Linked DNA regions of Stegostoma tigrinum. The protein of the gene in region 1 purifies or fractionates together with the protein of each later gene. This does not show direct contact. Links are inferred from orthologs where the notes say so. Each region holds a gene or a part of one and is shown in the gene's direction. Other genes may lie near its edges.

What was found. The genes of interacting proteins can lie anywhere in the genome.
Region 2: the proteins of usp4 (region 1) and DNA endonuclease RBBP8-like purify together in Homo sapiens (affinity purification with western blotting; 3 studies listed by BioGRID, with this or other methods). This does not show direct contact. The link is inferred for Stegostoma tigrinum from reciprocal best matches to the Homo sapiens genes USP4 and RBBP8.
Region 3: the proteins of usp4 (region 1) and edc3 purify together in Homo sapiens (co-immunoprecipitation; 3 studies listed by BioGRID and IntAct, with this or other methods). This does not show direct contact. The link is inferred for Stegostoma tigrinum from reciprocal best matches to the Homo sapiens genes USP4 and EDC3.

What each region holds. Positions count from the first base shown.
Region 1 is NC_081364.1:12,075,107-12,082,949, forward strand, and holds the start of usp4 (ubiquitin carboxyl-terminal hydrolase 4), read left to right. Parts: upstream 1-4,803; 5' UTR 4,804-4,937; coding exon 4,938-5,026; intron 5,027-7,843.
Region 2 is NC_081358.1:19,880,514-19,888,385, reverse strand, and holds the start of DNA endonuclease RBBP8-like, read left to right. Parts: upstream 1-4,816; 5' UTR 4,817-4,964; exon of another isoform or gene 4,965-5,089; intron 5,090-5,207; exon of another isoform or gene 5,208-5,339; intron 5,340-6,653; exon of another isoform or gene 6,654-6,671; intron 6,672-7,872. UniProt on the Homo sapiens protein: Endonuclease that cooperates with the MRE11-RAD50-NBN (MRN) complex in DNA-end resection, the first step of double-strand break (DSB) repair through the homologous recombination (HR) pathway.
Region 3 is NC_081389.1:17,321,574-17,329,522, reverse strand, and holds the start of edc3 (enhancer of mRNA-decapping protein 3), read left to right. Parts: upstream 1-4,893; 5' UTR 4,894-5,005; intron 5,006-7,949. UniProt on the Homo sapiens protein: Binds single-stranded RNA. Involved in the process of mRNA degradation and in the positive regulation of mRNA decapping. May play a role in spermiogenesis and oogenesis.

The sequences.
Region 1 (7,843 bases):
GAAAAGTTTGGAAGTAGACTTAGGAGAAGGAAGGGAAGCAGCTGGGGCAGTTAATTATAGTCTTCATCTTTGTCTGTGAGGTTCTCACACAGCATTTATCTAAATTACGCTATCTCGCACATGGAGGGGTCCAAATTTAACTTGCTAGGCTCAATAACTACAGGGAAGAGGAAGGTTGAAAAAAAAAAGATGAGTGCTGCAAACAGCAAACTGAAAATGATAATACTTCCTGTTACCAGCAAACAGAAGTGGTAAAAAGGACTGTTGAAAAACTGAGAGTCATAACATGTCTGTACTGCCCACAGAGGAGGCCTGGTTAGAACATGAAGTTATGTTGCTCACATAACACATAGCTCACAGTTACACAGCAGCACATGTCTGTGTTCAGTAAAACTACATATGGATGCAACCAAATAAGATATGCGACTCACTCAATGTGTTCATCAGCCATAACAGGATTCACAAGAGGTCCTTGGAAGTTTCTCATGATCAAGCTTCCTTTGCATCAGGTCAACAATATGACCTATGACCTACATGCTCATCTTGCAGGTATTGTGCTACTCCCTTTGGAGCTCTTTTCTAAAATTATTTGCCTTCCGCAAACTCAAGCTCCTTGAAAGTCTGTATTTTTAACAAAGCATTTGCTTGTTCCAGGCACCCCACCTTCCCAAATATTTCTGAAGCACTGGCACCTTGTGCACAGATGCTATTTTATGTCAATATAAATTGTAAACTGTTTTAACTCACAGAGTAGTATGATTATAGTGACAGATTACAAAGAATGGTACAAACAAACTACAATGTGCTGAAAATTTCACAGGAGTTGATGTCAGCAGCAGACACAAAAAGATAGGTAATAATGGGAACTGCAGATGCTGGAGAATCCAAGATAACAAAGTGTGGAGCTGGATGAACACAGCAGGCCAAGCAGCATCTCAGGAGCACAAAAGCTGACATGTCGGGCCTAGACACTTCATCAGAAAAGGGGGAGGGGGAGAGGGAACTGGAATAAATAGGGAGAGAGGGGGAGGCAGACCAAAGATGGAGAGAAAAGAAGATAGGTAGAGAGGAGAGTATAGGTGAAGAGGTAGGGAGGGGATAGGTCAGTCCAGGGAAGACGGACAGGTCAAGGAGGCGGGATGAGGCGGTAGGTAGGAAATGGAGGTGCGGCTTGAGGTGGGAGGAAGGGATGGGTGAGAGGAAGAACAGGTTAGGGAAGCGGAGACAGGCTGGGCTGGTTTTGGGATGCAGTGGGGGGAGGGGTCGAGCTGGGTTAGCTTTGTGATGCTGTGGGGGGAGGGGAAGAACTGGGCTGGTTTTGGGATGCGGTGGGGGAAGGGGAGATTTTGAAGCTGGTGAAGTCCACATTGATACCATTGGGCTGCAGGGTTCCCAAGCAGAATATGAGTTGCTGTTCTTGCAACCTTCAGGTGGCCCATGATGGACATGTCGTCTGAGGAATGGGAGGGGGAGTTGTTTGTTGTGAACTGAGCGGAGGTGTTCTGCAAAGCGGTCCCCAAGCCTCCACTTGGTTTCCCCAATGTAGAGGTAGCCACACCGGCTACAATGGATACAATATACCACGTTGGCAGATGTTCAGGTGAACATCTGCATGATATGGAAGGTCATCTTGGGGCCAGGGATGGAGGTGTGGGGGCAAGTGTAGCAGTTCCGGCAGTTGCAGGGGAAGGTGCCGGGTGTGGTGGGGTTGGAGGGGACTGTGGAGCGGACAAGGGAGTCACGGAGAGAGTGGTCTCTCCGGAAGGCAGACAAGGGTGGGGATGGAAAAATGGCTTGGGAGGTGGGGTCGGATTGTAGATGGCAGAAGTGTCGGAGGATGATGCGTTGTATCCGGAGGTTGGTGGGGTGGTATGAGAGAACGAGGGGGATCCTCTGGGGGCGGTTGTGGCGGGGGCGCGGTGTGAAGAATGTGTTGTGGGAAATGCGGGAGACGCAGTCAAGGGCGTTCTCGACCACTGCGGAGGGAAAGTTGCGGTCCTGGAAGAACGTGGACATCTGGGATGTGCGGGAGTGGAATGCTTCATCCTGGGAGCTGATGCGGCGGAGGCGGAGGAACCCCTTCCCCTCACTGCACCCAAAACCAGCCCAATTCTTCTCCCCGCAATGCATCACAAAACCAACCCTGCTCGACCCCTCCCCCCACTGCATCCCAAAATCAGCATAGCCTGTTTCCGCTTCCCTAACCTGTTCTTCCTCCCACCCATCCCTTCCTCCCACCCATCCCTTCCTCCCACCTCAAGCCGCACCTCCATTTCCTACCTACCGCCTCATCCCGCCTCCTTGACCTGTCCGTTTTACTTGGACTGACCTATCCCCTCCCTACCTCCCCACCTATACTCTCCTCTCCAACTATCTTCTTTTCTCTCCATCTTTGGTCCGCCTCCCCCTCTCTCCCTATTTATTCCAGTTCCCTCTCCCCATCCCCCTCTCTGATGAAGGGTCTAGGCCTGAAACGTCAGCTTTTGTGCTCCTGAGATGCTGCTTGGCCTGCTGTGTTCATCCAGCTCCACACTTTTGTTAACAAAAAAATAGGTTCATGTGTTAAAAAGGGTCTTTTTTCTGGAACTCTTGAAAACTGCAAGATCTATTTAAATTATCAACAAAGGGAAAAATATGTTTAGAAGGGGTATATACCCTTTGACAAGTTGTCTGTCAAACTTCAGAAGAAGGAGTTGTTGATCCACTATCTTAAACATTCAATCTCTCCACCTGCAATTGCACAGTGACAGCAGAGTGTAACATTTACGAGTTGCACACCAGGCCACTTCTGACAGCAGCTTCCTGTGAGGTCCAAAGTGGACAAATAGGGCAGCAGAAGCATGGCAGCAGCACCACTTGCAAGCCCTAAGCCTCCAATACCATTCTGACTTAGAACTACATAACCATTCCCTTCACTGCAGCTGGGTCAAAATCATGGAGTCTACCTAGCAGTCTTCAGTGGTTAATAAGACAGTTCACCACTACCTTCATCTTGAGGGAAATAAGCGATGGGCAGCAAACTCATGAAGTTTTAAAGAAGCATGAACACTTGTTTTCCTTAGATTAGTTCACAGGTCGGCGCAACATCGAGGGCCGAAGGGCCTGTTCTGCGCTGTCTTGTTCTATGTTCTATGTTGCCAGACCTGCAATTTCTGTTTTTGCTTCAAATCTCTAGCATCCACACAGAGAGTGGTGGGTACGTGCAATGGGCTGCCAGCAGTATTAGTGGAGTCAAATACTTTTAGAGACTAAAGTGACTCTTGGATGGTCCCATGGAGAATAGTAAAATGTAGGGTATGCAGGGTAGATTGATTTTAGTACGATAATACAGCGGTGCCAAAGGGTCTGTACTGCTCTATGTTCTTAGAGCTTGTTTCTGTGCCATATGACTCTTTGATCCAACCTGTCCACGATAGCCAGGTTTCCGAAACTGAAGTAGGTCCACACTTGTGTTTGTCCATATTCATCTAAACCTTTCCTATCCATTTACCTGACCAAATGTCTTGTAAATATTGTAATTGTGCATGCCTCCACCACTCCATAAATTCTGTGAAAAGGTTGCCTCTCCAGTTCCATTTAAATCTTTCCCCTCTCACCTGAAACCTAAGCCCTCTAGTTTTGGACTCCCCTACCGTAGGGAAAAGGTCTTGGCTATTCACCTGATGATTTTATAAATCTCTGTAAGGTCACCCTCAGCCTATCCAACCTCTCGTTATAGCTCAAATTTTCCACTCTCTGTAACATCCTTGCAAATCTTTTTTATACCCTCTCCAGTTTAATAACATCCTTCCTGTAGCAGAGCAACCAGATTTGTACACAACTCTGTACAAATATAGCATTACCATTGTTTTGCATAGTTGTAACAATGTGTCAACTCGTACACAATAATCTGATCAATGAAAACAAAAGTGCCAAATACTTTGATAACAAAGTGTGGAGCTGGATGAACACAGCAGGCCAAGTAGCATCTGAGGAGCACAAAAGCTGATGTTTCGGGCCTAGACCCTTCATCAGAAAAGGTCATCGTTTGTCTTCCTAAGATGCTGCTTGGCCTGCTGTGTTCATCCAGCTCCACACTTTGTTATGTCGGATTCTCCAGCATCTGCAGTTCCCATTATCTCTGTGCCAAATACTTTCGTCATCGCCCTGTCGAGCTGTGATGCCACTTTCAAGGTACTATCTACCAACACCCTCAAGTCTCTTTGGTCGACAGCATCGACAAGGCTCTACCAATAACTGTGCAAGTCCTGCGCTGGTTTGTCTCACGTTTATCTGCGTTACACTCCATCTGCCATTCCTATTTTCTTTGTTTTATCACATGAATGATGGTTTTTCTAGTTTGACAAGTTGAGGACAAGTTTAGGATAGCAGTTACTGGTAGGGGTTGGCAGGAGTGTGGATTAAGGCCAAGCCTCGGGAACCATCTAGAACCTGTCACGACTGAGTTGAAATTCTAGCTGGATGACTCAAGCCTACCTTCCTGGTCATCTCCGCTCCTCTTATTCCGGGAATGCAAATTCGAGCTCAGGCCATTCCAAGACAGAAAAAAAGATAAATGATTTATTTTTGATTTTTTTTCATGACTTAGGAGACCGGTGTTACTACGTCGCTTTTGGGGCATTGTGGGTGGGGGAGGAGGGGGGCTCGGGGCCGTCGGTTGCTCAGCAACCGTCTATTTCATACAGCTGCCTCACAACAGCCGCCGTCTCGAATGACGCAATGACGCAGGGGGTGGAGCACCGTCGTCCCCTCCCCCACGGTGAAGAGGTGGTGGCGGAAGCACGGCTGCGCAGTTCGGGGAGGCCGGTCGGTTGTGCTGGTGACGCGCACGCGCGTCGTGCGGGGTCCTTCCCTCCCCACCAACCCAGCCACCTCCCCGCCTCCCTCAAGACTCGGTTCGCTCGCGCTCCTTCACTTTCTGGGTGTCGGTGAGAGTAATGGCGGAAGGCGGCGTCCCGGACCTAGAGAGCCAGAAGAACGAGATCGGGAACTTGTTGAATACCTCGCTCAAGAAAGGGGATTCGTGGTAGGGGCAACTGTCGGGTTTTTGGGGGTGGGGGTAGTCGTCGCAGCGGTGATTTAACGCCTCAGGGTCAGGGTGAAGGCCGTGGGTAAGCCCCATCCCCGTCGTTCCCCACTAACCTACTGTCCCCTTAGTTGGGGGATCTGAAGCAAGCCTTTGGGATAAAATACGGCCCAGGGTGAGCCGGGCCGTGAGGGTCAAATCCAGGGCAGAGCTGGGGGTAGGGAGGTGGCCGGTTTGCCATGTGATGGGTATAGGCCTCGGGATTCCGCTAGTGAACCGACCCGGGAAACCCCGGGCCCAGTGCCGACCCGCCGCGCGCACAGCACCCCATGCCCATGTCGGTGCAACAGCGTGGCCTCAAAAACCGGTAGATTAGAACATTGTCCAGCCACGAAGACTCTTATTCCCGAAGGAGGCTGTTTAAAAGGTTACTTTCAACCTTGGAGCGGATATTTCGAAATATTAAGGTCTCTGATCTAACTGTGTTTATGTTGAGATTTGATTGCTCGCCAGCGGTCCGCAGCACGCACGCTTATAACATTTTAATGTAAATGACACTGCAGTTTTGTGTGAACTTTATGTTCCACGCACAACAGTTTTCTGACGGTAGGGTGATTGCCAAAACATTCTGTTTTTTGCTTGCCCCATTTTTTGCTAGTTCCTTTAATTTTTTTAAGAATGTAATTACACTTCCAATCTGTTATTTTAAAAAAACTTTACTTTGACAAGACATTTTTACTATCTATTAAGTGTTGGTCTTGGTCAATCATTTTAAGAATTTTATCAATGTGGGTCTGAGTTTGTTCGACTTGGAGCAGAAGAGGAGGCCATCTTTTAGCAGGTTATAAATCCTGAATGCATTTAAGAATTTTCACTTTAAGCACAGCTCTTTCTTGCTGGACCAGCTGTTCTATTGTGGGAATTAGTTCCACTCAGTTCATCCAAGTATTTTGCTGTTGCAGGACTTCCATGCTAAAGCAGTTTAGAATTAAGTGTGCATATATTCCCTGAGCAATTTTTAAAGAGCACTAACACAATATCATGTCTATTTACCTTTAACTGGCAGGCTCACTTTACTGTTGCAAACAGAAACGAAGGGAAGAAAGAGGGCATTGCTCCAGGCCACCCTTCTGCACTGACAGCTGTCATTCAGCTAAGCATGAGAAAATCTACACTGGGGAGTAGAATGTTTTTCCAGTTTTGTTACCCACTGTCGATGCAACACATCCCAAGGCACAGTCCAATGTAGATTAAACTATTATTCCCACAAAATACACCTTTAATTTAGCACTTTTAATGTTACTTATTCATCGCTGAATAGCTGCTAGCTTATACCAAATTACAGGCAGCTTTTGTGGTGTAAACATGCAGTGCCCAAGAAAAAGGACTGAAGCTGTGAAGACAAATTTCTGTATCAAATTTTTATATTGAGTGAAGAGAAGGAGCTGTGATCCTAGAAATCTGAATGAAATTGATGCCAAGTTTCGGAAGGGAAGGGTGATAAGATTGAATAGGAAACAGTAAGGTAGTAATTATGCTGCTAGGTTAGTAATCCAGACTTCTGAGCTAGTGATCTTGAGTACTGAGTTCAAATTTAGTGAATGAATAAATCAGTAGTTTCAGTAATGGAGTTCATGTAACTTCTGGAGTGTCTTGGGGGGAAAAAATTGATTATGAATGTTTTACATGGGAGGAAATTGCCTTTATTCTGTCTAACCTATAAGTGACTCCAGACCAACGAAAATGTGGTTCACTTTTCAATTCCCGTCTTAAAAGAACAAACAAGGTTTTCAACCAAAACAGTTAGGTATGAACGAATAAGTGCACCTGGTATTGTCATTGGTACCCATTCAGTGAATGACTGGAAAGAGGCAACACTTCCCACTGTAACCTATTTTCATGTAGAGGAAAGAAAAGAAAATATTTTCATTGTACAAATTTTTTCTCTAGTAGTCTTGCGAGCTGTTTATCTGTGCCTTAGATCTGGTAGCATTTCAGTCAAAAAGCTGTGTATTCAAATCTTCAAAACAGATTTGAGCATTAAGTCTATTTTGATGTGTCTTGTGCTCTGGGAGAATGCTGTGTTTGCTTCAGGGGTACCATCTTCTGGATGAGTCATAAACAGTCTGAACTCTTGGGTGGGTATAAACCATCTCTTTGCGCTATTCTGGGAAGAGCAGGTGAGTTGTCCGATAGTCCAAGACAATGTTCATCCCTCATATGACCCTTTATTTTGTAATTGTGGTTGAATTTTGCTCTCATTTTGTCTCTAACTGTATATCCTTGCCCCTCTGCTCTGTCATTGGTAGCAGAAGTTTGAAAACATCTGATAGTTTCACTGTGGTCCTCTTGATTTGTTTCTCTTACTGGATTTAAAAACTCTAGAAATTGATTTTTAAATCCATTTTGGTCGACTTTTATGACTTTACTCACTGTCTAAAATCGCTTGCGTTGTATATCTTGCTCACTCCCTGTTGTTTGTTGCAACCAAGCTAATATAACTGTTTTGCAAATACACATAATTGTTTAACTCTGTCACCATATCACTCAAATGCTCCATTAATTATGCTTCCTGTATACTTGTTTCTAAATTACATTTTCCTTGAAATAAAACACTTCCCAAAATTCTTGACCATGTTCAGTTCAACTTGTGCGGGCACAATCTGAACTTTCATGGTCATACTTTGATGTGCTTAGTACTTTAAGACTCTGTTCTGTTGTATAACATTGTTACTAGGTTCTATTACGTATTTAGTGACACCAGAAACTTGTTGTCTTCATGCTTTTAGATGTTGCACATCTTGAAAATTCTGAAGG
Region 2 (7,872 bases), on another chromosome or scaffold:
GCATATATGGAACAAACTGCTAGAGGAAGTAATAGAGGCGAGTACAATTACAACATTTGAAAGTCTTTTGAACAAGTACTTGACGAAGAAATGTTTAGAGGGACTTGGGTCAAATGCTGGCATCATTCATGTGAGCATGGAGTCAATAAAAGGTATTGAATAGTTTGATCAGCAATCATCACATTGAATGGTGGGGCAAGTTCGACAGGCTGAATGACCTACTTCTGTTTTCTTATGACACGATTCCAGCATTGACACCGGGTTTAAGTCCAACAGCAACTTACCCTGTTCAAGTGATATTCATAAAGTCAGGAAGCGTCTATTTAGGATCCCTGTAGCTGAGATGCCTGACCTTCCAACAACAACAGCTGTCTTCCCAAGCGTCAGGTCTGACTGCAAACAGTGGAAAATTTGCCGATTGATTTAAGCTTTGCTACAGCTCCTTGATACCACACTCCACCAAATGCAGCCTTGATGTCAAGGGCTGTCACTCTCCGTTCACCTCTGGAATTCAGCTCTTTTGTCCATGTTTGAACCAATCTTGTAATGAGGGCAGGAACTGAGTGGCCCTGGTGGAACTCAAACAGTGTGTCACTGAGCAGATGCTGCTTGATGGTACTATGAGTGATACTTTCCGTTGCTTTACTGATGATCAAAAGTAGGTTAATGGGATGGTAATTGGCTGGTTGAATTTGATCTGCTTTTTGTGTACCATACACATCTGCACACTTTTCTACATTTTCAGGTCGGTGCCAATGTTGTAGCTGTACTTGAAGAGCTAAGTAGGGAAGTGTTAATTTTAGAGCACAAGTATTATAGCCGGAACGTTATCAAGGCCTGAAGCCTTTGCAGTATCCAGTGCCTCCAACTGTTTCTTGATATTATGTGGAGTGAAGTGAATTGGCTGAAGACTAGTATCTGCGCTGATGTGGACCCCAAGAGGAGGCTGAGATGGATCATCCACTCAGCACTGCTGGCTGAAGATTGCTGCAATTGTTTTAGCCTTATCTCTTGCACTGATGAACTGGTGTCTTCCATCATTAAGGATGGGAATATTTGTGGAGTCTCCTCCTCCAGTCAGTTTTTAATTCACCATCATCATTGGTGGACTGCCGAGCTTAGATCTGGTCCATCTGTTGTGGGACGGCTTACCTCATTTGCTGCTAATATAGTCCGGCCTGCATATAATCCTGTTTGGTAGGTTCACCAGGTTGACACCTCATTTTTAGGTATGCCTGGTGTTGCTCTTGTCATGGCTTCCTACACTCTCCATTGAGCCAGGGTTGATACCCTGGCTGAATGCTAATGATTGAGTGGGGCATATGCCAAGCCATAAGATTGCAGATTATGCTGGAATACAATTATTTTGCTGTTGATGGCCCACATATTCTCAAAGGTGCCCAGTCTTAAGTTGCCAGACTGGTCCCACTTATAACAGTGATAATGCCACACAACATGATAGAGGGTAAGCAGGACCTCATAGGACTATGTGGTGGTCAGTCTTACCAATACTGTCATGGACAGATGCATTTGCAGCCAATCGATCGGAAAGAATGACGTCATGTATCTTTTCCCTCACCACCTGTGGCAGACTCATTCTAGCAGTTACATTATTTTGGATGTGACCAGCTCAATCAGTAGTGTTGCTGCTGAATCCTTAGTGACGGAGGGCAGTATGTGGTAACTAGCTGCAAGTTTCCTTGCCCATGTTTTACCTGCTGCCCTAAGACTTCATGATATCCAGAGTCAATGTTGAGGGCTCCGAGGTCAACTCTATCCCAACTGTATACCACTGCGCCACCACCTCTGTTGGGTCTGTCCTGCTGGTGAAACAGGACATATGTGATGATATTGCCTGGGACATTTACCACATATGACTATGTCAGGCTGTTGCTTGACTAGTTTGTGAGACAGCTCTCCCACTTTTGGTACTTGTCCCAGCTGTTAGTCATTGGAACTTTGCAGTGGCACTAAGGCTTGGTTTTGCTGTTATCGGTGCCTGGGCCAGTGCCAGATGGCCCGTCCCTTTTTACTTCATGGTTGAGAATTCATAACAATTGTTACAACCGAGTGGCTTGTTAGGCCATTTCAGAGGGCAGTTGAGAGTCAACCACATTTCCACAGTTCTGGAGTCACAAGTAGGCCAGACCAGGTGAGAATGACAGAATTCCTTCCCTGAATGTGATTACTGAGCCAGACGGGTTATTTTTCAACAATTGGCAGTGGGTTCATAGACATCAAAAGATTCTTAAAGTTTCAGGTTTTTGTTTATAACATTCAAATTCTGCTGTCTGCCGTGGTAGGATCTGAACCTGTTCTTCAGTACATTAGCTGTGTTTCTGGATTAATTATCTCGTAGTAATATCACTCATTGCCTCACATCCATCAGGTCACTTCAATTTTCCTGAGAGAAAGGATGTAGTCCAACATATTTTTTCTAACATGTAATGTCCAATATCCTGGTCCAATAAGGGCTTTGGATAGCAGATTAACATAACTGCATAATTTACTCCGCTTTATGTATGAGTTACATAGCAGTCCTCACTTTTAAATATGCCGCCATCACAATGAACAACTGTCCTACAGCTGCCAAACAAACCATCATCTCATGTCAGAGTCTACTCTGCAGGACTGTTTACTGTAACACAATGATAATTGATTTTATTGATCTACACTGCTACCTAATTACAACTTTCCATCTCAGATTAATATGAGGTTGCTTCAAAGCACAAGGAACACATTCTAATTTTGTTTTCTTTTACTTCATCAGCTGTTGAGTTAGGGACCTGTCAGCAAATATTCGCATTTACATTTGTGTCTCCCATGGTTCAAATCTTATCATACTCGGCTGTGGAATCATAGGCTGTACCAGAGAGTTAGTCAGAGCCCTTGGCTAAGCTTTCATAACAGAAATGAAGGGTTGGTGCACTTTTAGAGATCTGTGTTACAGATAAGGTGTTAAAATTAGTCCTTGTCTATCATTATGAGCGAGCTTAAAATATTCCACATTGTTATTTCAAAAAACAGCAGATTTTATATACTGGCTAGCGGTTACCTCTTAAACCAACATGTAATAATGGGAAAGGTTATCATTTTGCTTCGGGAAATTGCTGTGTTCAAATTGTGTGCAACGTTCATTACATTTCTATGCTTCAAAAGTGCTCAGTTGGCTGTAAAATGGAATTGGGATGATGTTGCGAAAGATGGAACCCATGATGTGGAGGTGCTGGTGTTGGAGAGGGGTGGGCAACGTCAGAAGTCACACTACATCGGGTCATCAGACTGCACCTGACGAAGAGGCCGAGCTCCAAAAACATGTGGGATTCCAAATAAACCTGTTGGCCTATACCTGCTGTCATGTGACTTCTGATGTTGTGAAAGATATTATAGAAATTGAAGTAATTTCCTTTTTTCTTTGAATTCATTTGCTTAAACAAACTGAAATTTGAATAGGAATGTAGTTATCTATCTGCCAAGATTTTCTATTTAGTAAAATATGGTTTTTGCTACAGTCATTTGTTGTTGAGGATTATTAATCATTTCCATAGAAATACACTAATTACGAGGAAAGAGAAAACCATGTCAAGTTGTGAGTTGATGCATGATGTTATAACTAGTTTTCGCCAGGAGGTGGTGCTGATTCAGCTTTGATTTTACAGAACTGCAAATTTCTCCAAGTTGTGCAAGTGCTCGTGTTAGACTGGGTTGGAGAAAATCAAGAGTCACACAACACTAGGTTACAGTACAACAGGTTTGTTTGAAATCACAAACTTTCAAAGCTCAGCCACTTCATCAGAAGTGGGAGAGAAGAGCACGCAAACACAGAATTTATAGGCAGATGCATCAAGGGCAGAGAGATCAAAAGATCATACAACTGGTATGCGTGAAGTTTTGAGTAAGAGGTCCTGCAGGAGACCATGAGTGTTGGGTGACAGGAGTGAAGTGCCAACTGCTGAATAGCAAGTGAAAGGATAACCCAAAACCTGATTAAATGGGGTGGAGAGATAATTTCAAAACATTAAAAATAAGCCAAGCTGAAACTGATAGCCAAGGTCTGTACCCATGAAGACAACGTCAACTGTGATCTTGGGTTCATGTTGTGTCACATGCGACCCCATCACACAGCTCAGCATCTGTAAAAACCTTCCTTACTGTGCTGTTTTGACACCATCACCTTAATAACTTATTATGATCGCTCTACCTTGATTAGTTTGTTCAGTTTTGATTTACTTATTACTTTGGTCAGACCATTGGCGTGCGATTCTTACACCTCTCATGCTGTTCCAGTCATTTAGTTTGTCTCCCGTACCACCTTATTTTTAATTTGTTTAAAAATTCCAGTCATTTTCGATATCATTTTGTTTATACAACGTTATGTAACATTCGATCGGCCTTGGACTAGCATAACGTTTCCAGAACATGTTTGACTACGTTAGATAATCTGATGTTGGAAGGAGGGTTGACCATTTGTCAAGCTCTGATAGGCGGGCCCTCCCATATTGGGGCGGGGACCCAGCAGATAGGCGGGGTCAATTCCAAATAAGCCGGGCATGTGGGCGGGCCTCTCGATGGGCTGATCACCCCACACTAATTGGCGGGGCCTTATAGCGGGGCGTTGCCTTTCCTACCGACGGGCGGTGACTTCAGTCACGTGCTGGTCCTTATTGATTGACAGCTCCCTGCCATTGGGGCGGGGCCACGTCGACGTGCGGCGTTTTCCGTACGGACGGGCGGCGCCCTAAATGGGTGGAACCGCGCCCACTGCTTCTTCGCAATGGTTGAGATCGATGTCACTCACGGGGATTTTTTTCCCCCCCACCCATTTCCGGCAGCGCAGCCTGCCGTTGGGCTTATTCCCGCGTCATTTCGAAGTTTGTGTTTGAATCGGGAGTTGATCCTGGCTCGAGCTGCGGAGTCGCTCGCTCAGTGACGGCCGAGTTCCTCTCCTGTGCGGCGAGACTGAGGTGACGAGCACTGTCGTGAGTGTGAGAATACGGGGGCGGATACAGGAGAGGGCGGCCTAGAATTCTCCAGAAAACCTGGAGAAGGGAAAAGGTGGAGAAGTTGCTGGTTAAAACGGAGGCAATAAGTGAGTGAATCAGGAATGAAGAGAGTGAGGGGTGGGAACACGCAGATAGCTTTTCCAATAAGCTCCTTTACGGTGTGTTTACATCGGTGTCTAATCGGTGGTCTGGTACATTCTTCAGGTTTACCGTGAGTGCTGCCGGTCCTCACCGGACGCCTCAGAACTGTCCTGGTGCGGGAGGCGGCCATTCAGTCCATCGTGCCACGGCTGGCCCAATGAGTTGCTGCAGCGGGGCCTAGGATTCAGGCAAGACGTTCGTACTTGATTTCATAAGATCCACGTTTATTGTCGCCGTTTGCACTTTCCTCCAGTGCTCAGCTGAAGTGTTTAGAGCAATATTGAAAGCCTGGGTTTATTTTTGGAGGATGAATTCAATTTGTAAAGTCAAGTGCAATCTAACTGCATTGCATTACTGGTTTTATTGCGGAACGTGCATCTATAAGCATGATGCTCAAAAATGTGTGCTACTTAGTGGTTTTGTTTTGGAGTAAAATTTTGTTCCATCAGAATGAACATTGCAGGGAGGCAGTGCTCTGCATTAGATCATGCAGCTGTGATTTCTGCTTTGCCACCAGTGTTCTAATGAGGCTACTTCTATACAGCAAGCAATCTTTGGTAGTTTCCACAATGGACTCACTTTGCCTCTGTTCTTGAACACAGTAGTGATGGCAGCATCGCTACGATTGGCAGGGGTTTCTTCTTTGTCCCAGATTTTTGATGGAGATGACAGGTAAGCTCTGCCCCTCCCAAGTCAAAAAATTCTGTTCGAATCCCATCTACTACTGCAGCTTTTCCATTCTTCATATGTCTCATGACCACTTTAATTTCTTCCACATTAGGTGGGAGTCCAGGACCGTCTTTGGGGAGTTTGTGGGATTTCCTCAAACACATCCTCCTTGATTGTATCGAAGTTTATATGTTCTTTGAACTATTCTGTCTGTCGGAGGCTTATGTATTTTGTGTCTCAGAAGTGTTCCATCTGTACTTCGTAGCAGTTTGACACCTTGGTGTACAGTCATTACATTGTTGTAGTGGCACTGAAGAAACCTGGGTGCTGTGCTTGTCAGCAAGGAGTTGCATTTACTTAGCTTTCTCAATCCTCCATTGGTGGTTCTTTGTAATTCTGTCTTTTGCTGTTTGAGATCCCTTCTTTGCCTTGCTGGTGATGTTTTGCCAGGCATAGAGAGCTTACCCCTTGATGATGAGATCTTGGATGATGTGGTTACTCTCATCAAACTATTCTTGACGTTTCCTGATCTTGCAGCCGATAGTTTATTTCACAACATGAGGTGATAGCTGTCTTCAGCTCTTTCTAGATTTCCACAATTCCATTGAAATGAGCTCTTTGGTGATTTTTGTTGAAGACATTATTGGAAATTTGCTAGTCTGTTTGGCTGTTGAAGGCTTACAATGTTAAATATTTTAATAAACTGTTTCTTTGTCTTCAGCTGTTTTCTGGTGGCTTATGATGGATGTGGAGGAATGTATAAGCCGGTGGTGCAGATGGCTGCTTGAAGGACCAATCATCAGCTTGGTAATGACGATGTCCCGTTGTCATCATTCAGTCCCAAGACCATAGTCGATCGTAAGCCAGCACTTTAATTGCGTATCCTTCAAGAGGCTTCGAAATTGTCTTTTTGGAGGAACAGTGCATTGATGAATAACAGCTGGTGTTCTGCATTTTTAATGAGTCGGAGAGTCCCCCTGGAATGGCACTCCTCGACTTCTTCCTTTTTGAGTGGTCTCTTTCCAGAGCTCAGGGTCCTTTTTACAATTCTGGTATTGAAGTCTCCAAGCAAAGTAACTTAATATTCCTTTTAGATGTTGCTGAGTATGGTGTTCAGGGTAGAGTAGAACCTGCCTTTAGATTCCTCTATGGCATCAAGGTTTGGAGTAGAGACACTCAGTTGCTTGCTAGTTCTTGGCAAGTTGGAGACAGTCATGAGGTGATTGATGCCAACGGTGAGCTCTTAGAGTTGATTGACAAGTCGTACTTGATTGTGAATCCAATTCCATGTGTCCTGCATTGATCCTTGGGTTTCCTTTCCAGAAGAAGCTGTAACCTTTTCTGTCAGCTGCCCTTCACCTGCTTTTTGAATTTCCTGCAGGGCAGCAATATCAATGTTGAAGTGCCGTTCATACATTCCAGATTCCAAGATTGAAGTTGACTTTGGTTCTTCAGGCTGCAGGTAGATGAACCCACTGGATGTCGTTTTCCAGCCGGGTTGATGATGAAGCAAACTATGTTTCAGGCACTTTATCTAGCCCCCCCTCTACGCAGGGTGAGCAAAATAAATGCGAACAGAGCTGCTCACTTGTGAAGAAAACTGCCAAAATGCCCTTCTATTCCTGGCCCATATGTCGGACTGTGCCGTCTGAAGCTGGGAACTTCAAGATTTCTCAGTCCTGTCCCCATCGTGTCTCACCGATCGCGGAGGTTTGTCTGTGTGTCCTAGATAGATGCCCTGTGTAGGACATCTTTTAACATGGGAATGCCATTGCATTATCAGCAGACACGTGGCCCTTGACAGAGGGTAGATCCAGCACTCGTGGCACAGGGACCTCAGTCAACCCGGTCTGCTCCATGAGCAAATAATTCATGGTTAACAGAAGCAACACCTCCACTTACACTGCTTCCTTGCTGTTAGACATTTTGCTGCTTTCCACATCTATGCTACAGCATAAAACTATTCTGTGAACTGTTTTGTGAGGTAATTTTTGAAAATCTGTCTGTCCCATGCACTGCTTTTTCACACTTCAATTGCTGCTTAAAACAAAATTTATAT
Region 3 (7,949 bases), on another chromosome or scaffold:
TGGTGATGAACCATATTACTGGTCTGTAGAGCTAGAAAGTTATAGAGATAGGAAGGCCTGGGATTTAAACAGGAAAATCAATGTTGGCGAATGGGAGACAGTCCAAGCCAGCATGCAAAAGTATGGTAGATGAATAGAAGACAGAATGGGTTATGAAAGGAGCAACAGAGCTTTGGATATTCTTATCTTTATGGGTGACCTGCTAGGATGGTATTGACGCACTCAGTTTGGAGAAAACAAGAGAATGGGTAAGAGTTTCAGCAACGGATAGAAATGTAACTATCAGAAGACATGGAACAATCGATTGTCTGACAAATTAGTTATATTGACATTACTTTGTTAACAAATTAGTTATACTTGACATTAAATTGTTAATGTTTGATGTAATAAATTATAAGTCTCAGCTTAGTTGAAATATTAAAAATAGTGTTTATAAAGTGACCTTAGCGTGCAGGTTCATAGTTCCTTGAAAGTGCAGTCGCAGGTAGACAGTGTAGTGAAGAAGGCATTTGGTATGCTTGCCTTTATTGGTCACTGCATTGCGTAAAGGAGTCGGGAGGTCAGGTTGCGGCTGCACAGGACATTAGTTAGGCCACTTTTGGAATACAGCATTTGATTCAGGTCTCCTATTTATGGGAAAGAGCTGCGAAACTTGAAAGGGTTCAGATAAGAATTACAAGGATGTTGCCAGGCTTGGACGTTTGAACTAAAGGGAGAGGCTGAATAGGCTGGGGCTATTTTCCATGGAGCATCGGAGGCTGAGGGGTGACCTTATAGAAGTTTATAAAATCATGAGGGGCATGGATAGGGAGAATAGTCAGATCTTTTTCTCAATGTAGGAGAGTCCAAAACTAGAGGGCATAAGTTTAAGATGAGAGGGGAAAGCATTACAAAGGACCTGAAGAGCAACGTTTTCACATAGAGGGTGGTTTGTGTATGGAACGAGCTGTCAGAGGAATTGGTGGAGGCTGAAAAGGCTTTTGGATGGGTATGTGTATTGGAAGAGTTTAGAGGGACATGGGCCAAATGCTGGCAAATGGGACTAGGTTAATTTAGGAAAACTGGTTGGCATGGACGAGTTGAACTGAAGGGTCTGTTTCCGTGCTTTATATCCCAATGACCCTAATTCTGAAGTTGTGGCTTTGAACTCCTCATCCAGGCTAAAAACCTAAAACAGAGCTAAGGCTGCGCTACACTGTTAGAGGTGCCATCCTTCAGACAAAATGTTAAACAGATCCCTGTTCTGCATAATCCACTGTGATTCCATGGTGTTTCTTTTAAAAAGGAGGTCTCCTGGATAACATACTTTCATTAACTTCTACCACTAGTGGTACTGATTATCTGGTTATTTATCACCAATCCTATTTACCTTCGCTTAGCACAAGATAATTATTACAGTAATATGCTTCAAAGTGATTTGATGTTCATGACTCATATAGAAATTATAGTGCATCTTTAACATTAGCATTTATGTTTCTGTCATACTGGAACCATCAAGTCAAAACACAATGTTCTTACCATTTCCACTGGACCTTCTGTAATCTTCTCTTTTCAAATATTTAGCCAAGTTCCTTTTATATTATCAACAGTACCTCAATAACCCCGTCTTGCAAAGTATTCCATGGTCTAATGACTGTGAAAATGTTTCTTTTAACTTTTAATTTTGTTCTCGCAATGGCAGGGTTGAGTATGTACTCCCTTGTTATTAATTCATGATCCAGTTGAAACAATATTTCACTACTTGCCACATCAAGACTATTTATACTTATGAAAACCCATTACATTGCAGTTAATCTTCACTCTTTTGGGGGAAAAATCCACTGTTTCAAAGCTTGCTCTGTAATTATAATTTCTTGTTTCTCATCATTCTGTAGCCATTTGTGATTCTGATGTTCTTCCAATCACAATACTCCAGCTGCAAGCTAATTATCGCCTTGCACTAATTTAGTATCACTTTCTTCTTACATTTTATGCTCCTCTGCATACAAACCCAGAATGAAAATGGCCTTTTATTGCATTTTGCAGCCAGAATCCTTTCCTAAATAGGCTAATCTCTATTCAACTTGGATCTCCTGCGTTCCTCCACTCTCTTAAGAGTCCTTACATCGAATTATATAGGACTTACAGCACAGAAACAGACAAGTCAATTGGATCAATTTCATCAACCTGAAATTCCTTTGTTATAATGTCTTGCTTTTAAAGCCTCATCCAAATTTAACTTCAGTCACATGTGGTATTGAAACCTGTAAATTTGACCCTCAAAATTTTTGTCACTTCTACTACAGTAACACCACTGTATGCTCCCTCTCCTGCGTACTTCAAAGGGACATTTTTTTGTTGAAACACACTGATCTTCACATCATAGCCATTATCTCTCCCGTGGCAAATACTCAAACAGTCACAAGAGGTGTAACACCTTCCCCTTACCCACAGTCCCACCCCGCCACCTGCAATCATTGTCCAAGCTCTTTCAAGGTGCTGCAACAATTTACCTGTACTACTTTTAATTTAGTATGTTATATTTACTACCTGTATTGTGGTACGTTTAACACCAAGGAGCCAAATGCAGAATGAGTGACCATTTTGTGGAATGCCTCTGCCTCAGCCCACAAGCTTCTGCTTTCTTGAAAACTTATTTGATCTTGTTAATATATCAGTCTTTTGCCAGTGGAGCTCGAGAAACATCTCATCTTCTGATTTGGCACTTTTTACAGGCTTTTGAACTGGATATTGAGTTCAACAATTTCAGACCATGAGCACTGTCCCTCCATCCTGATTTTCATTTTTTTTGCCATGTGCTGTTATTGTTTCTGCGCTTTTGCTCTTGGTCAGAGCTGCTTATTATTCTTCCATTCAGGCTGGATTAATGCTTTGGTTCTTCACCATATCCATTAATTTGCTCTTTGGCTTTGTTTCATAACATCTTTGTTATTTAAATTCTCCTTTGCTTTTGCTCATCCTCTCCATCTGACATTTCAGTGGCACTTAGCCCATAACATTTCCAGCTTCCTTCAGCTCAACAAAAGAATCACATCTGAATCAAAACAAAATCTGTTTCTCTCACAACAGATACTACAAGATCAGTTGAGCATTTCCAGCTGTTTCTGTTTTTAACCACAACTCAAGCGACTCAATTCTAATTTCATTAGATGGTACCACAAGGATCTGGTTCAAGTCTCACTCCAGGGTTGACATACAAAACTCATGCCCCTTAGTCCACTGCAGTTCTAGGTTAAATTGTGCTGATTGAGGGTTTGTTTTTCAGGTAAACTGAGGACAGGCCTATCTGTTTGGGTGAATGTAAACTAATCCATTGAATTATTCTATGGAGGAACAAGAGGTTTGTTCTTGACATGCTGGCTGATATTTATCCTTCAATCAACATCATGTTAACAGGGCTATCTGGCCTTTGTCACCTTGCTGTTTGTGAGATCTTGCTGTGTGCAAACTGGCTGTCTTATTTCTTACATCAAAACAGGAACCACACTTCAGAAGTATTTCACAGTGTGAGATATGCTTTGAGATGTCTGGCGGTCATGGAAAGCATGATGTAAATGTCTTTCCTTCTTTATTTACTACATATTTGAGTCATTTTTTTGTAATCTTGGAGGTTTTAATGATGCCCTCTCTAGCATTATTGACTCACTGTTAGAGAAGATCCAACTGAAAAAATCTTTATCACAACATCATATCAGAAATTGTCGAATCAATGCCAATGTTTTCTCTCTGCGAGACATACAGTCTAATCACACTCTTGAAATCACTCCCCTTATCTTTCAACATTCATTTTTCTCAAGTAAGTTATCAATTTCCCTTCTTTAAAATAGTTTTGAGATGTCATGGTTTAAAAAGCTTTGCTTCACTCTTTGGAAAGGAGCCTTGTTGGTGCCTGTTAATGTCAGTAGCTTGCCATATTTCTTGCCATATATCCTACATGCATTCCAAATAAGTCTGTAATTTTAACATCATGCTTGCTTTACAATCCTCCAAGATCACTGCGCTTTCCCAAATGTTGGTTTTTTTTTGCATTCCCAATTTTTAAGTTATTATATTGTTGACAATATTGTTTCCTCTTCAGGAACGTGGGTTTTAAGTTCTGGAATTCTCAACCCAAAACTTACTGCATCTCCCTCCTCTTTACAATGCTGCTTAAAATTTATCTCCTTGACTCAGCATTTAAACACACTTCCAAACACAATTTATCAGTTTTTTTACTGCTCATAACATTCTACTACATTAAAAAGACATTCTCTAGCCTGAATTGACTAAACATTGTGACTTTCATAATTGTGAAGATACATATGTGAACTTAAAATTAAAGTATCTGTAGGGCAACTTTCGTTGAGTCACAGCGTTGCTATAGACCCCTTAAAGGGCTGGAAGTCATCAAATGAAGAATGAGCGTCTTGAATGATTAATAGTAATTAAGAATTGATTACTAAGCAAAGGGTCTCGGGGCGCAGTCGTTGAAACCCTACTTCTGAGCCAGGAGACCTGGACTCAAGTTCTACCTGCTTCAGAGGTGTACACTAACATCTCTAATCAAGATGATTACAAGATATCTACAGACTGATCAATCGGTGTGGTCTGGTGATTGGGAGATGCTAGCTAGACCCTACGGACTCTTGTGGTGCAGTGGTAATGTCCCTGCCTCAAAGCTCGGAAACCCTGGTTCAAATTCCTCCAGAAGTGTACAATAAGCAGACACCTCTGAGCAGGTTCATTCGGTAATATTTTGATTACTAACCGATTTTCGTTAAGAAGAGCAGGGCTGCTGACATTCAGCAGATCTCCCTAGGATGGAGATTGTCTCCCCGTTGCTATGGGAGGGAGAGGAGGGCCGGAAGTGAAGACTGGTTGCTAGGAGGGTGTGATGTCAGTGCGCGGCCCGCGCAGGCGCAGAAGTGGGACTGGCGATGGCGGAGTGGTGTGTCTGCCGTCGTTGCTGAATCTTAGTGACTCGCTGGCCAGCTCATTTTCACATCGTCCCTTCTTTAGATACGACGTAAGGGATCCTGCCGAGCTTATCGCGATGTGTCTAACCGGAAACGCTTGTATTTTCTTTTTGGGTCTGCGGGTGGGTGAGGAGTTTGGATACTGTTAGGCCTGGAAGTTGGATTGGGCCTACCGTCCACTCCAGTCTAATTCAGCAGCAAATGTCCGGTCCATCTTTTTTGCAGCTGCAGCTGCAGCCTAGTCCTAGTCCTTCGGTGATGGTGAGGAGACACTATGGAGGCATAGTGAAAATGACGCTCTGAGCTAGTAATCCAGCAAGCCTGGCTGATGCTGTGAGGCTTTGGTTTTATATTCCATCCAAGTGACTGGTGGAATACCTGTTCAGTTATTCAAACCTGGAATCTAAAGCTAACCTCAATGGGGTCCATGGCAACCATAATCAATGTTCTCAAAAATTCACTTGGTTTTATGAGGAAAATAGGTTTGCCATCCTTCTCTGGTTTGATTTACGTAATACTCCGCACCTACAGCAATATGGAACAAAAACAGAAGATGCTGAAAACGTTCAATAGGTCTGGCAACATCTGTGAAGAAACAAAAAAAGTTAATGTTTTGGCACTGATGATCCTTCTCCAGAACAGATAATATGGTTTACTCTTAACTACCCTCAGAAATGGCCTAGCAATCCGCTTGGCGAAATAGCAATTAGGGATCCACAGTAAAGTTTGGCCTTGCCAGTGGTGCCTGTATCTCAAGGGAAAGAATTATAGTTTGTTGGTTTGTTTGTCCATTTACAGCCTTCTTTCATGCTATAGCACTGGTGCTTCTGTCACTCCAAAAGTTTTCGACCGGTCCCCCTCCCCTATAATAGTCTCTCTGTGAAAACAGCAATGGCTATAAGTATGTGGATGTCTGGGAGAGAGCTACTGCAAATGTTCATCACTCAACCTGCCACATTCTGCTTTTTTGCTCTATTCCAGAAGCCCTCAAAACTAAGTGAATCTAGACAACTCCCTGCTGCACTTATGTTGATGTAGTGGCTGGAGAGAAGAGATAAATGCTTAAAGTCATGTGTTTGAATCCTCGTTTTTGGATTTGTGTGCTTACACTTTAGTGAGAGTGTGCAGGCTCAATGTTGGAACAGGCAATATATTCCACAATTACCATGCTGAATGCTGTTTTTAGCTGATAGTGTTCTCAGCTTGAAATTATAAAACTTGTATGATGTATGCAGTTTTACCAGTTTTGGAGTTTTGCTGTTGTACAAAATGGATGTTATAAGCCAAGAATGTAGTTGACTTAAGACTGACCCAGTATTTCAATTCAAAGATAAAATTTTTAAGGAGTTCTAATTTCTAATGTGATACTTTACTGATGGATTCTCAGCAGGGACATAATGACTTGTTTGTAGGTAGTAGCATTTTTAATAGATGGGTTGTATGGTTTTTGACTCTGGATTTTGAAGCATGGTTTTAAAATTCATATTGGTTTGTTTTTAAACTGATAAATCATTCCAGACATGCGTATGGAACTGTGGCCCTGCTTTCTGTGCCTTGTGTTACAAATTTGCCTCATGGTAGTGATGGGGTGTAATATTTTGATAAAATTGCATGCCATTGAACATTTTGCAGTAAGTTTTTTAACCATTTCCCCAGAACACTTCAAAAAATTTAATATTTGAGTTGTGTTCACTTTTTAACCAATTTTGACAAATGTTGAGCCAGGTATTCTGTTTTGTGCAGAGCATCTTTGTAAATTTGAAAATTCCTTTTGCAATTACATGAATTACTCAACATTTGAATGAGATTGCAGTAATTAAGATTACCAAAATTTGAGGGATCAGTGACACTCTCAGAATGTAGGATGTTAATTGTGCACAGTTTAATTTTACTTAAATGACTTGTTGCAACAGTTTACTAGAAAGTAGTTTAAAATAGTATGTTTTTGTGGTTCAAGGCATTTAAGAGTGCTGTACACTGGATATGTAACTGCACACTTAAAGGCTCCCAACTGCAGTCACTAGAGATTAGAGCAGCACTGTGGAGGCCAAGCACTCATGTAGCATGGTTCACTTTATTGCTTTTTGATTCAGTTGTTTTATAGACCAAAATATTACTGGACTGCTAATGTTCCAGATATGTCTGGACAAAAATCAGTTGCAATATTCCCATCGACATATGGAGCATTGCTTGCTCAAGACTGCCCAACCTGTGTAGATGAAGCATCTGTGCAGGTATCAGTCTGTGTCTCTGACAGTCCTACGTGGAGGTTAAACACAGGCAACTGAAGAGGCAAAAAGCTAAACATCCCATTTGTGACAGATTTTGCAGACCTGACAGTGAACAGTTTAGTCACTTCAGGACCACAACATTGGAGTGGAAGAACGTCTTGCTGTATTTCGAATGAATGCCTAAGAAGGATCGGTGAAGGGGATAGGTTAGTGGCCTGCTTATTTTGATTGCAGAGTGATACCTAGTATGGAACCAAAGGAAACTATATTCTTTGATATTCACACAAACAATGTGGGATAAGAACAGCAACGTTTGGTGAGTGTTGATGGTTCTGAGCCATGATAATTATTAGTTCACTTAAGTTTTGGAAGTGAACTAAAATGAAAAGTTAAAAGCAATATTGTTTTTGGGTTTTCTCCTTTGCCTTTTCAGAAATGTTCTCCTTAAAAGCATTGGCTTTCAAATTGTCTCAGTATTCAACTCAAGTATCGATTTATTCATGAGGGTTTGATGCAATGTGGCAGAGTGCTATTTGGCTGCATTATTAGCTTGTTGTCCGGCTAACACTTATTGCCTGTCCCCAGTTTCCCTTGAGAAGGTGGTGGTAAGCTGCCTTCTTGAATAGTTGCAGTCCTTGTACTGTCAGTTGACCCACAATACTGTTGGGATGGAAATCCAGCGTGTTTGTCCCTGCAGTGTGAAGGAACTAACTAACTGAGCATAGATCGCAGATTAAATCTTGGAATTTTTAGGTGTATGAGA